Linked DNA regions of Oryzias latipes. The protein of the gene in region 1 interacts with the protein of each later gene in a pairwise test. Links are inferred from orthologs where the notes say so. Each region holds a gene or a part of one and is shown in the gene's direction. Other genes may lie near its edges.

Evidence for each region.
Region 2: the proteins of apip (region 1) and pdzd4 interact in a two-hybrid assay, tested with the Homo sapiens proteins (2 studies listed by BioGRID and IntAct). The two-hybrid records come from large-scale screens. The link is inferred for Oryzias latipes from reciprocal best matches to the Homo sapiens genes APIP and PDZD4.

What each region holds. Positions count from the first base shown.
Region 1 is NC_019861.2:8,212,137-8,217,796, forward strand, and holds the start of apip (methylthioribulose-1-phosphate dehydratase), read left to right. Parts: upstream 1-2,023; 5' UTR 2,024-2,149; intron 2,150-3,063; 5' UTR 3,064-3,066; coding exon 3,067-3,132; intron 3,133-5,660. UniProt on the Homo sapiens protein: Catalyzes the dehydration of methylthioribulose-1-phosphate (MTRu-1-P) into 2,3-diketo-5-methylthiopentyl-1-phosphate (DK-MTP-1-P).
Region 2 is NC_019865.2:21,182,180-21,187,966, forward strand, and holds the start of pdzd4 (PDZ domain-containing protein 4), read left to right. Parts: upstream 1-2,497; 5' UTR 2,498-4,618; coding exon 4,619-4,678; intron 4,679-5,787.

The sequences.
Region 1 (5,660 bases):
AACAATACGTCCGTCTTTCACTTCTCCATTAACAAAGGAGTTAAACAAGGCTGTCCCATCTCTCCTTTACTTTTCATCATAGCAGCTGAAATGTTATCCATTTCGATAAAACACTCAAAATTTTAAAAACGTAATGCTTTAGGCCAGCAAATAGCAATCACTCAGTTCGCTGACGACACAGCTATTTTTATGAAGGACAGCAGTCAGATTTCTGTGATCCTACAATTAATAAATTTTTTCTCCAGAGCTTCCGGTCTGAAACTCAATCTGAAAAAATGTGAATTATTGCCAATTAAATATTCCACTTTAACAACAATTCAAAACATTCCTGTTAAATCCCAAGTTATATGGGAATTCACCTAACCAAAGACTCCAAATCATTGGAGGATCTTAACTTTTGGAAAACTTTAGATAAATGTAAATTAAATCTAAATCTGTGGTCCCATCGAGATATTTCCATTCTTGGTAGAGTTTTTCTAGTAAAGATGGAATCTCTATCAAGATTAATCTACCCAGCATATTCTTAATCCTTCCCTAAATCTGCAATTAACGACATAAATCAAATTAATTTTAAGTTCATTTGGAAATACAAAACTCATTATATTAGAAAAGTGTGATGTTAAAGGATTATGAAGAGGGAGGACTTAAAGCTATTGATGTTGAATGTTTAGACGGAACGATTAAAATCCACTGGCTGAGATCTTTCTTAAAGAACGAAAAAGGTTTCTGGTTTCAATTCCCCTCTAAAATATTAAGGGATCTAGGTGGAATTAACTTTCTGCTTAAATGCAACTATGATCTAAAAAAAACTGCCAATCAAACTTTCTGCCTTTCATCAACAAATTTTATTGTACAGGAAACTAATTTATAAGCATAACTTTAGTCCGCACACCACGCCTTTCTGGAACTGCCGTTATGTGTTACGAAGAAACAAATCCTTGTTTTACAAAAACTGGCTGACTAAAGGGATATGTTCTGTTCTGCATCTACTGGATCATTCTGGAAATATTTTGACATTTGAAAATTTTAGTTCTGAATTTCAATTATTTGATAGGAAACAATATGATGCTGTGATTAAAGCTCTTCCTCGGTCGTTGATCCAATTATCACAAAATCTATTGTTAAACAAAGTTCCATTAAAACTTCCTTCACTCCTATTGGACGGACAGACGGTTACAAAGACAGAACTACCAAACAGCTTCATACGAAAATTGTTTGTGAAAGAACTCTTCCAAACATCTCATCAGAAAAAAAAAAAATCTAAACACTTCTCTAAAGAAGAGGTCATTGAATTAAGGTTGAATATCTTTAAATTTTGTATTTTACCAAGAGACATTCATTTTAAAATAATTAGTGATGTTTACCCATCCAAGGAATTTTTGAGACTTCGTTTTGGATTTGAGGAGAATGACTGCAGTTTTTGTTTAAAGGACATTGAGACGGTGGATCATTTATTCTTAATTGTGGAGTCATAAAAACATTCTGGGAAGAGTTCTGCTTTTGGTATTCTTCCAAAATTGCAATGACAGTTCATTTAGAGGCAAAAAATGTTTTATTCGGGGTGGTTTCACCTAATAGACCAGAAAATATGGTCCTTAATGTCCTGATAATTCAAGGAAAGTTTTATATTCACAAGAATAAATATTTGATGACCAAACCACTTTTTATTACATTTCATAAAGAGCTCTATTTTTGTTTTCAATCACTTCACTATATGAAAAAGAAGAATGGCTTGAAATTGCCTAGTTTTGTTCAAAAATACAAACTTAATGAGTACCCCTGACCAATATCAAACCTTTTGGATGGATTTATGTTATTTTATTTTTTATTTTACTTATTTATTTTAATTATTTGTGTGTGTTATGTTCATTCGTTTTTTCTACTTTTTATGTTTATATGTTATGTTTGGCAATGGTGATTGCTATTCTAGGTAATGTTGATTATATAGTTACTGTTCGTTATGTTATGTATGATACCTCAATTGTCAATAAAGTTTATAATTTTTTAAAAAAAACCTCTGTCTTTCACTTCCACTTCCGGTGGTGCTGCTACTTGTCGGTGTCGCTCATTAGTGACGTAACGCAATCTTCAGAACGAGCTGTGTTTACTTTTGTGTGTAACCCAGGGAAAATTCTGCGAAATATCTGAGGTAAGCAGCCACATGTTTTTATGGCCAGCAAACTGAAGAAAACAGTAACAAATGACGTCGTTGTTTTGTAACAGACGACACACAGGCATTAAATTTAAATAACACGTAACGTACTTACTTGGCAGCTGTTTTGCGTTTTATTTCCTTCAAGTTTTGTTTAAAATTTCAAAATGACTCAGTCCTTTCTTATATAATCATGTCGTAATTGAAAACCCTTTTTTTATTTACCACATGGATGGGTAGGACATAAAACTAAAGCACTGAAATGTGAATTCTGGGGGGAAAAGAAACACTACTGTTGAATTCTGACTGAGCCCTTATCTTCTTAACCTTTTTCTTTTTATTAGTGGAGAAAGGGTGAATTTGACTCCAGGGGCTTTTACTTTTTGCAGACAAAACTAAACACTGACTGGACTTTACCTGCTAAAGTTTTAAGACAGAAGTCCTAAAGGAGCTAATCTTGGTGGAAAGGAATATTTAAAAAATAAAGTCAGTAAGTCCATCTGTGCTGTTATAATGGCCGTAAAAATCTGTTATTTAAACTGAGTTTGTTTAAATAACTAATAATATGTATAGTAAGTATAGTGTCATTTAAAAAAACTGGAATATTTCTCTTAACATTTCAACTTATTGACACTTTTGAACTCACTGCATACTTAAATTTGGGGAGTATTTTGATGGGGATTCCTAATTTCCCACATTCGGAGGAAAACTCCTTTAACCGTCAACAGTTCTTGAGAAGTTTAGCTCAAAAACAGTTGTCTTACTTTTGCGATGATTGGAAAATGTAGGGAATTCCCCTTTTATACAAGCGCTCTCATTTAGTGGACATGAAACAGTCATGTTAGTGCCACCCCCATCCAGGTGTCAGTTAGGAAATAATCAATTGTCAAAACTGGTCTGTTTCATGGCAGGAGATGTCAGCTCTGTGTGACCCTAGCAACGGCTGCCAAGATGCAGGACAAGCAGCTTCAGAGAAAGAGGCAAGTATGACATCATGTAGAAACTTTGGTGAATGTTTGGTTAAATCTGTTTAAATGGAAAATCTTCAGAATACAATCAGCACTCTGTGTGCACTCCCCAACCAGGTGGATGAGATTTTGGTTTCTGCACATTGCTTCAGACTGACAGGGTTAAGCTCGTCCTTGGATTCATGCGTTCACAGCGGGCATGTGTCGTACATTTAAGAACATGCTGAACGAGGGGTTCTTGAACGCTTTTACACTCAACTGTCACTACCCGATACTATCGCATGCATCTACAGTTGGACGAGGCTTGGTGCGAAATGTCAAAGTAGTGCAAATGTCACAACCATTGACTGTAAAAACAATGGACACCTCCCTTCTCGTGTTCCCAAATAGGAAGTACCATTGCTTCCTGATGCGGGCGCCGCCACGTTGAAACGTATCAGGAAGGGAGGAGAGCTATGGGTGACATCATACCTCGATTCGTCTGTTGTTTTTACAGTCGATGGTCTCAACTCTTGCTCCAGGCTTTTTCTTTCACAGCTCTATTCTGACATATTATGACAGATTTGGTGTTGTATAATGCCGTCTAAGCACAGACCTCAACTATTCATTTATCCTCCATGATCAATTTTCAAAGGGTTGGCATTTCAGTGAGTGAAAAAAGGACGCTACCCATATGTGGCTCCCAAATCCGACACTCTGATTGGTCAAACATTTAACGCGTGTTCAATGGCTGCACGCTTTATTTAAAGAGCCCGAAAACAGACTTAAAATCTTGCATGGCGATGCGTTAACGTGAGAGTTTTGAACGCGGAAGCCCGAAACATGCATATGTACCGTACATAGACTTTTTATTTGAAATGGTTGCTTCAACGCGCGTTGCTAAGGCCGGTGTGATCGTAGCATAAAAGAAAAACACAAATCACTGAAACTGTATGAAGATTTTAAAACATAAGTCATAAAGTCTGAAAATAGATCAAAAAAATAACAGTCATTTACAGAGACTGTAGCAGTTCATGCTAATTGTTTGAGAATTTGTCACCTCAGATTAACCAACCCATATGAAAGTGGTAACAAAGTGGTTATAAAATTATTTGTGAACATCAGACCTTTTAATAATGTTTAGTTTTTTGTTTGTTTTTTTCTGACAGATTTGGTCTTCATAACCCTTAGCAAAAAGTAGTACACTTGCCGTATCTTTGAGTAAAGCAAGTCTACTATAACCTTGTCCATGAAGTATAGGAAGCATACTAACTAAATACTTTTAAGACCACATTTGAACATTTTTTGGCAACTTGAAGTATTTAGGCTGCAAGGGGGATACTTTGGTGCAGCGGTAGGGCAGTCGAAGAAGATCTGAAGATTGCGGGTTCGATTCTTACCTTGATGTGTCTTTGTGCAAGACACGGAACCCCACATTGCCACTGGTGAAAGGTTGCCGCCATTGTCCATCAGTGTGTGAATGGGACTGTGACTGTAAAGCACCTTGGGCCTTCATGTTGTTGACCAATCGGATGACCCGCCTCCTTGCCGCACCTCTTATGTAGACTAGGATCATTTGGAGTGTAATTTAAGTTATTAGATGACTTTATTAATCCCACAATGGGGAAATTCATTTATCTGTGGCAGCTGCGAAAGTGTAAAAAACATGTGATCCACTGCAAACATGTGATCAACTGTCAAAAACACGTAAAACTTTTTTTCTTTTTCTTTTCTTTTTCTTTTTAAATACAAAAATAAGTAAGTAATAAAGTACACACCAAAACAAACAACCGTTCAGGAACAAAAACTATTGAAAACTGCAACAACTGTAACAAAAGTAAATGAATAAATGAGTAAAAGAAAGAAAAAACACCCCTGGGTTCGTGGAGTGTCACTTTGACACGGTGTTGTACAGTCTGATGGCTGTGGGGAGGCATGACCTGCGGTAGCGCTCCTTCTTGCACTGTGGGTGCAACAGTCTTGTGCTGAAGCGCCTCTACAGTTTGGTGCAGGGGGTGGGAGGGGTTATCCATGATGGATGTCAGCTTAGCCAACATTCTCCTGTCCGCCACCTCCTCCGTGGACTCTAGTGTGCAACCCAGGACAGAGCCGGCCTTCCTAACCACTTTGTTAAGCCTCTTCATGTCTCTGCCTGCACTGCCCCCCGCCCAGCACACAACTCCATCAAGGACCACTGAGGTGTTGTTGACTGGTTATGTTGACTCTTATTTAAAGTGAAATAGAAATGATGTTTTTGTTTTTTTTGCTATTTGTGCATGTATCGCAGGTTATATCGTGATCACAGTATTGATCACTAATATCACAAATTGCGAGTTTTCCTTATATCGTCCGGCCCTAATTGTAGTTTACTTAAATCGACTACTTTTTGCTAAGGGAAGCTATATAGTCAATTTTACACGATACCTAATGAGCTGTAAAAATGCAGTTTGTTATTGCAGTTCAAATGACACAAATGATGCATTTTTTTAAATGAGGAAAACCACAGAGTGCATTAATGTAACTTGAGGAAACAGTTTTACTTCTGTACTTCTGCCACGGTG
Region 2 (5,787 bases), on another chromosome or scaffold:
AACAAAACAAAGCAAAAAATATTGTCTTCAGTTCCCAGTATTCCTTTAAGTTGTTTTTTGCTGAGTTTCCACCTCTCACTTTCTGTTACTTCACAGTCTCAGTTCTGCTCTGTGGCATCATTTCATCATTTCCTCTTTGAGATGGCTTTCAAGCACTGTGACACCGCCAGAATGTGAATGAGGATCCCCCAAAAGGTCATCTGTAACGACCCGTCAATCACAGCCTTTTCTTTGACAGTCAGGGCCTGTAATAAAGTGAGGGTGCCTCCTCGCATGCACACAGGAGCTCACATGCAAACTCCAAGTTGCTTCTGCTCACAGTGTATTATGTACTAACAATCTCCCCACAGCAGTAAATAAATGATGAGCGCGCTGTTTAAATTCTGCCAGTATTGCGTTGCTCTGCTGGCATTGGGCTCCTGTTTTCCTCCACAGTCGGAGAAGGTCTCGGTGGAATGAAACAAACACTTTTTTTCCTTTTGTTTTTAACATTTTTCTATTCTCCCTGCTTTAAACTATTCCCAGCCACCCCCAATCTCCTTTTCCATTTTAGGCCCCTTGAAAAACTTCACTGCCAAATCTCAACGGCTCCCTTTGCCACCTTCCATTTACTCATGAATGCATAATATTTTTCATTTACATTTTGGCTGGAAAAAGTCCTGTTTTGCATTTTAGTGATGCAGAAGGAGTTTTTTTTCTTATTTTGTGTGTGTGTGTGTGTGTGATCTTTTCTCGTGATGGGTTGAAAGGTGGAGAGCTACAGCGATGTTAGGAAAAAGGTGGAGCTCAGTCGGGAAATGAAAGAGCACCGACCTGCAGGTCACACTCCTTTTTGCTCAGGTGGAGATCCATAAAGAGACAAATGCATAATGACTTGCGCTGGCATTTAAAGATCCACTCTGATGAAAAGGTTTTTTTTTTGGTTTTTAACACGTTCTTGTGGCATTTTTCTGATGACAGAGGATACATATAAAGAAAATTAAGATGAAAATAGCATTTCTGAGTATTTCTTTATTTAAACTGCTGTGAATCAGGAGAAAATGGAAAAATTGGAAAAAGCTTGTAGGTGTGACGTGTTACGTATTACAGCAAGCCACAAGCTCCCTGCTTTGCTCCAATCTTATGCACTGGTAATGTTGGGTTAAAGTTGTGAGGGGCTGTAAGCTAGCAGAAAAGTGTGTCAAACAGATAGATGACGGGAAATGGGGAATGGGGACAGGCTTTCTCTGTGGTAACAGTCCTGCCCACAACTCACAGGCAAATGGTAATGAACTACTGCTGCTCTGCAGAAACTACGTTCTAGAAAACTAGTTTTTTTTTTTTACTTTGGCTAAAAACAGCACAGTCAAAGTATGATTGGAGGGAGTCTTAAGATAAAAACAGATCCCAATGTTGGACAGGAGAGTCCAATATCCACAGTCCCTGCTTTTTTCTCATCTCTGCCCCAACTATAATAGGATGACAGGCTGACCTTTTGTGCTCTAAAGGCGTTGGACTGAGAAAACCTAGAGGCCTGCTTGTGTGAGCTGCATTCAGTATCAGAGGCGACATGGGGAGAGGTGGTGAAAGACGTGCAACCTTGTTGATCCTCACATAGCCACCGTGAAATCCTGCTTCATCCGTGGCTCGCAGAAGCCATCAAGGGAAGATTTGTGTGTGTGAGGGAGACAAACACTTGAGATGCGTAACCAAGACACAAAATTCTCGACTGATTTTTATTTCAGAAAACTGATACGGCACGGAGAGGAATGCTGACGAAATGCTCCTCAGACTTCACCCCCTGTTTGGCAACAGCACCACAGAGAGAGTGCCAGTGAAATGGAAGTTTAAATGGAAAATTAATGTTCTGAGTGTGTCTGCAGAGAAGATTCTACCAACAATTACCTGCCAGTCTGGGTAGAAATGTAAAATGAATACTCCCCATATGGCAGATTTGCACCCTCTATACCTCAGCGGGTCATTTTGATTACTGCAGAAAAGTCTTTTTCTTCTCCCCATCCTCACTCCTCCTCTGCTCTCCCACACAGTCATTTGCATTTTTTCTCTTGGCTCTCTTCTGCATCTTTCCATCTATCTAGTCACACCTGTTATTCACTTGTTTCTCCTCTTCTCCTGCTGCTCCTTTCCCGATCATACTTGTTTTAGCGCAGCTCCTCATCTAAATGCACAGCCAGTCATGAGCTCTACCTGCTGTGGGCAGTTTTTTTTCCCCTCTTGCTATGAAAATTTGCAATCATCCTTTTTTTTTGTCCTCAAAGGATCTCATAAAAAATCACAAGCACAAAGTGAATTACTTAAATGACACAAGATGGATGAGGCTGTCTCAGAAAAAAGAGCCTTGATATTTCATTCACTTTTATGAAGCTCTGCTTGTTATGTCGCCTTGTCCTGCATGCACAGACCTCTCTAGTGCCTGCTCCCTTGCCTGCAGACAAGCAGAGAGAGGCAAAAGAGAGGAGGGAGGGTAAAAATGATGGGGGGACTAGAGAGGATGCAGTAGCCCAACCCTGAATGAGGAAAAGAAAAAAAGGGTGGAGGGAAAAAGACAACACAGCAAGAGAGAAATCCTTCTGCGTGAGATTTAGTTGTAGTGCAGCGGGCAGATTTGCTGAGCTCCAATGCAACTGCCTTTTGTGCACTCACCCCCCCCACCACCACCACCTCCACTGCAGAGGGGGGAGCACTTTGCCGTCATACCCAAGGGGAGAAGGCAAGAAGTATCCTCCAATCAGCCTCCGCTCCTGGTGAGGATTCATCACTGACCTGAGACAAGCGCTGCTCATCAGTCCAGCCACCTGGAATACTCACAATGGTCTACATTGCTTCCCTCACATGGAAACACCCTTTTGTGGATATTTGTTCATAGCATGAAAGAGAGACAAAGGGAGGAATAAAACGGGACATGCTCATTCCTCACACTTTTCTATTTTTCTGCCTCCAGCCGAAGATGGACTAACTTTTACGCGTGTGTTTTCAACGCATCCGGACAGCTACATACCCCACCAGCTGAGGCATGGGGGGGACCATCGAATGCTCACACTGCAGCAAGCATGTGTAGAGCTGACAGGCGATAGGGGTGAACATAGAAGGAGAGAAGGGATGACAGTTGGAGCACACCTGCCTGCTGAGACCGGTCTGACACCTCACTGCAGCATGATTGGCTGCATGATCTCCAAGGCAGCTTGTTTTCTCCTCAAGTTATCATTCTCCACATTAGGTGGATGCAGTCTTAATGCGTGTGCGCGTTTGTGTAGGTGGCTTAGCAGCCTCCAGACAGGACGCAGGTGTAGTGAAGCCTTGAATGAGGATTAGCTTCAAAACCTTGTCGATGGACCAAAAACTCTCAAGCTATCCGACCGCGCTCTGGAGGATTAAAGATTAAGGTTCAACTGACAAGATGAGACACAGAAGGCGAGCAGGTGACTCAGTTTCCCTCCAGTTCATGTTAACTGTGACAGATTTAGCTTGGAATAAACTGGGTTCTATATGAATAGACTCAGGCTGTGAGGAGAGCTTCACCGTGGCGTTGAAAGTTTTGAGGAAAGGGAAAATGTTTTTAAGGACAAGAATCCTCTATGTGGCACAACTTATCTATAAGTTTATAATTGAATAGTGTGCTGTCTTATCAGAGCTTGGGGTCATCAGTTTGGTCATAATCCACCATGTTTCCCCTCAGAGAAGTCCAGCGGTGAGTTTGCTGTGTCTGCGGATCAATAGTCTGAACATGTGATCGTATCTGACAACAGGAAGTTGCTGAATGAACTTCCTTCCAGTTTTTTTGTGTAGCATTTCAATTTTCTGTAATTTTGTGAAATTTTACTCTTACTGCAGTTCTGCAGAGCTGCAAGTGAGAGTGTTTGTGATGTAAAGCTTGTAGTTGTGTTGCCCCCTGCTGAGACACCTCTGGCGGTGTTATCTCAGCTGCAGAGGTCTGAGCGGTTTTGGCTGGCGGTGTCATGCCCCTGTAGAACCGGTCCTCTGCACACAGTAAGTTTTGCTGCAGCTACAATCACAAACAGCTTGGAACACGCATTGAATGTGGGGTAGATGACAGATGAGGCAGGAGAGGGTGCTGACGGGGCTTTCAGTAATTTCTTAGTGTCACTTTGGCAAACGTACAGAAAAGGGCTGAGAGAGAAGCTGACAGAAAGGGAAGTCCTGAAGAAACAGATGTGAGTTCAGGAGTCTTTTCCAGTCTTTAAATGTGAAGCATCCTGCAGCTTTATGAGCTTTGCAACTCCTCTCCGTGTCAATCGGATAAGCATGGAGCTGTCTGAAGCAGATGCTTTGATGTATCAATAAAGCACAAAGTAGCAGGACATTCTGTTTTAGGCCTTTCCTGAGATTTTCTTAGAAATCACACTTCAAATGTGAGTTTATTGCAGGTTTAGCAACATTTCATTTGTGAGCACAACACCAGACAAAGGAACAGAGATGCAGCCGGCTCATATTTGCCCGGGATGTGATGCATGATACCTCAAAGAGGACCCGCTTTGAACACCACAACGCCTGCGAATGAGGGTGGGGCTCCCACGCCGCCACAGACAAAGAATCCTTACTTGAGAACTGGTCATTAGCGGTTGGACCTGCACAGTCCTGCACCCCGTCAGGAGTTACCATGGGGTGCAACATGTGTGTGGTTCAGAAACCCGAGGAACAATACAGGGTGATGTTCCAGGTGAGCACTCTGTCTCCTCTCTTTCCTTTTTTCTGCTCCCTCCTTTCTCTCACGGCACTAATGTCAATATTTCTTGCCATAGCAGAAACTCAGAACAAACACTTACCTTTTATTCCTATTAAATTAATTTTGATTTGGTCTAAATTTTATTTGAATTAAAAAGTCTTTAAAAAACAACCAGCTGATTTGTTAAATAAGTTTGAGAAAAACGTTTTTGTACATCAAGTGAACAGACATTGTAAAAATGACATAAAATCGGGTAAATAAAAATGGAATCAGTTAATTTATACATTATTTTAATCAACTATCATAAGCAAAATATGCAAAGAGACAAATATTAAATTTAACCAATTAAAAAGACAAATATAAATTCCACATCATATCACTCATGTAGCCAAAGAATGCATCTTTTGTGCACTAATTGGCTCCTTAATGATAACTACTGTAATGATGCTTCTCAGTAGCTTTGATGACATTCAATCAGAGCAAAAGTGGACTTGTGGTGCAGAGCTGTAGAGACAGAAAGGATGGATGGGTTGTTAAACTGGGTTTAAGTGTGGAGAAGGGTTGCCACGGTTACTGCCTCAGCACCACCTGCCAACCGGGACCATAGACAACATGTTAGCAAGCCTTTATATCGGTGTGGTCTGGACAGAAGACACTTTCCGGGCACTAGATGATGCACATAGAAGCCAAAACGAGCCCTGTGCTTCGTAAGCATTAAAAATGCTTAGCAGCCTTGCGAATGCAACACTTTCAGCATCTGTGGCACCAGGGGCCTCAGCTGTGTCTGCACAGCCTGTTCAAGTCTGGGTCAGTTAACCAAGCTGCATCTGGTGCCAGAGGAGATGCCAAGAGAGGGGGAGAACAAAAAGAGCCCAAGTCCAATCAGAGATATGGAAATGGCGGGGAGAAAAGGAGCATAATTATGGAAATGGAACCAGAAATCAAGGATTTCTATTTTAATGTTTTGTTTGATTTTTCTCAAATTTGAGTACACTTCTTGTAGTAAGAGTGAGCATGTAAAATGTTTATGTTTGTGATCATATCTAACAGTAAAAAGAGCACAAACCTGGAGTCATCTGTAATAGAAACCAGGGCTGAGGTCA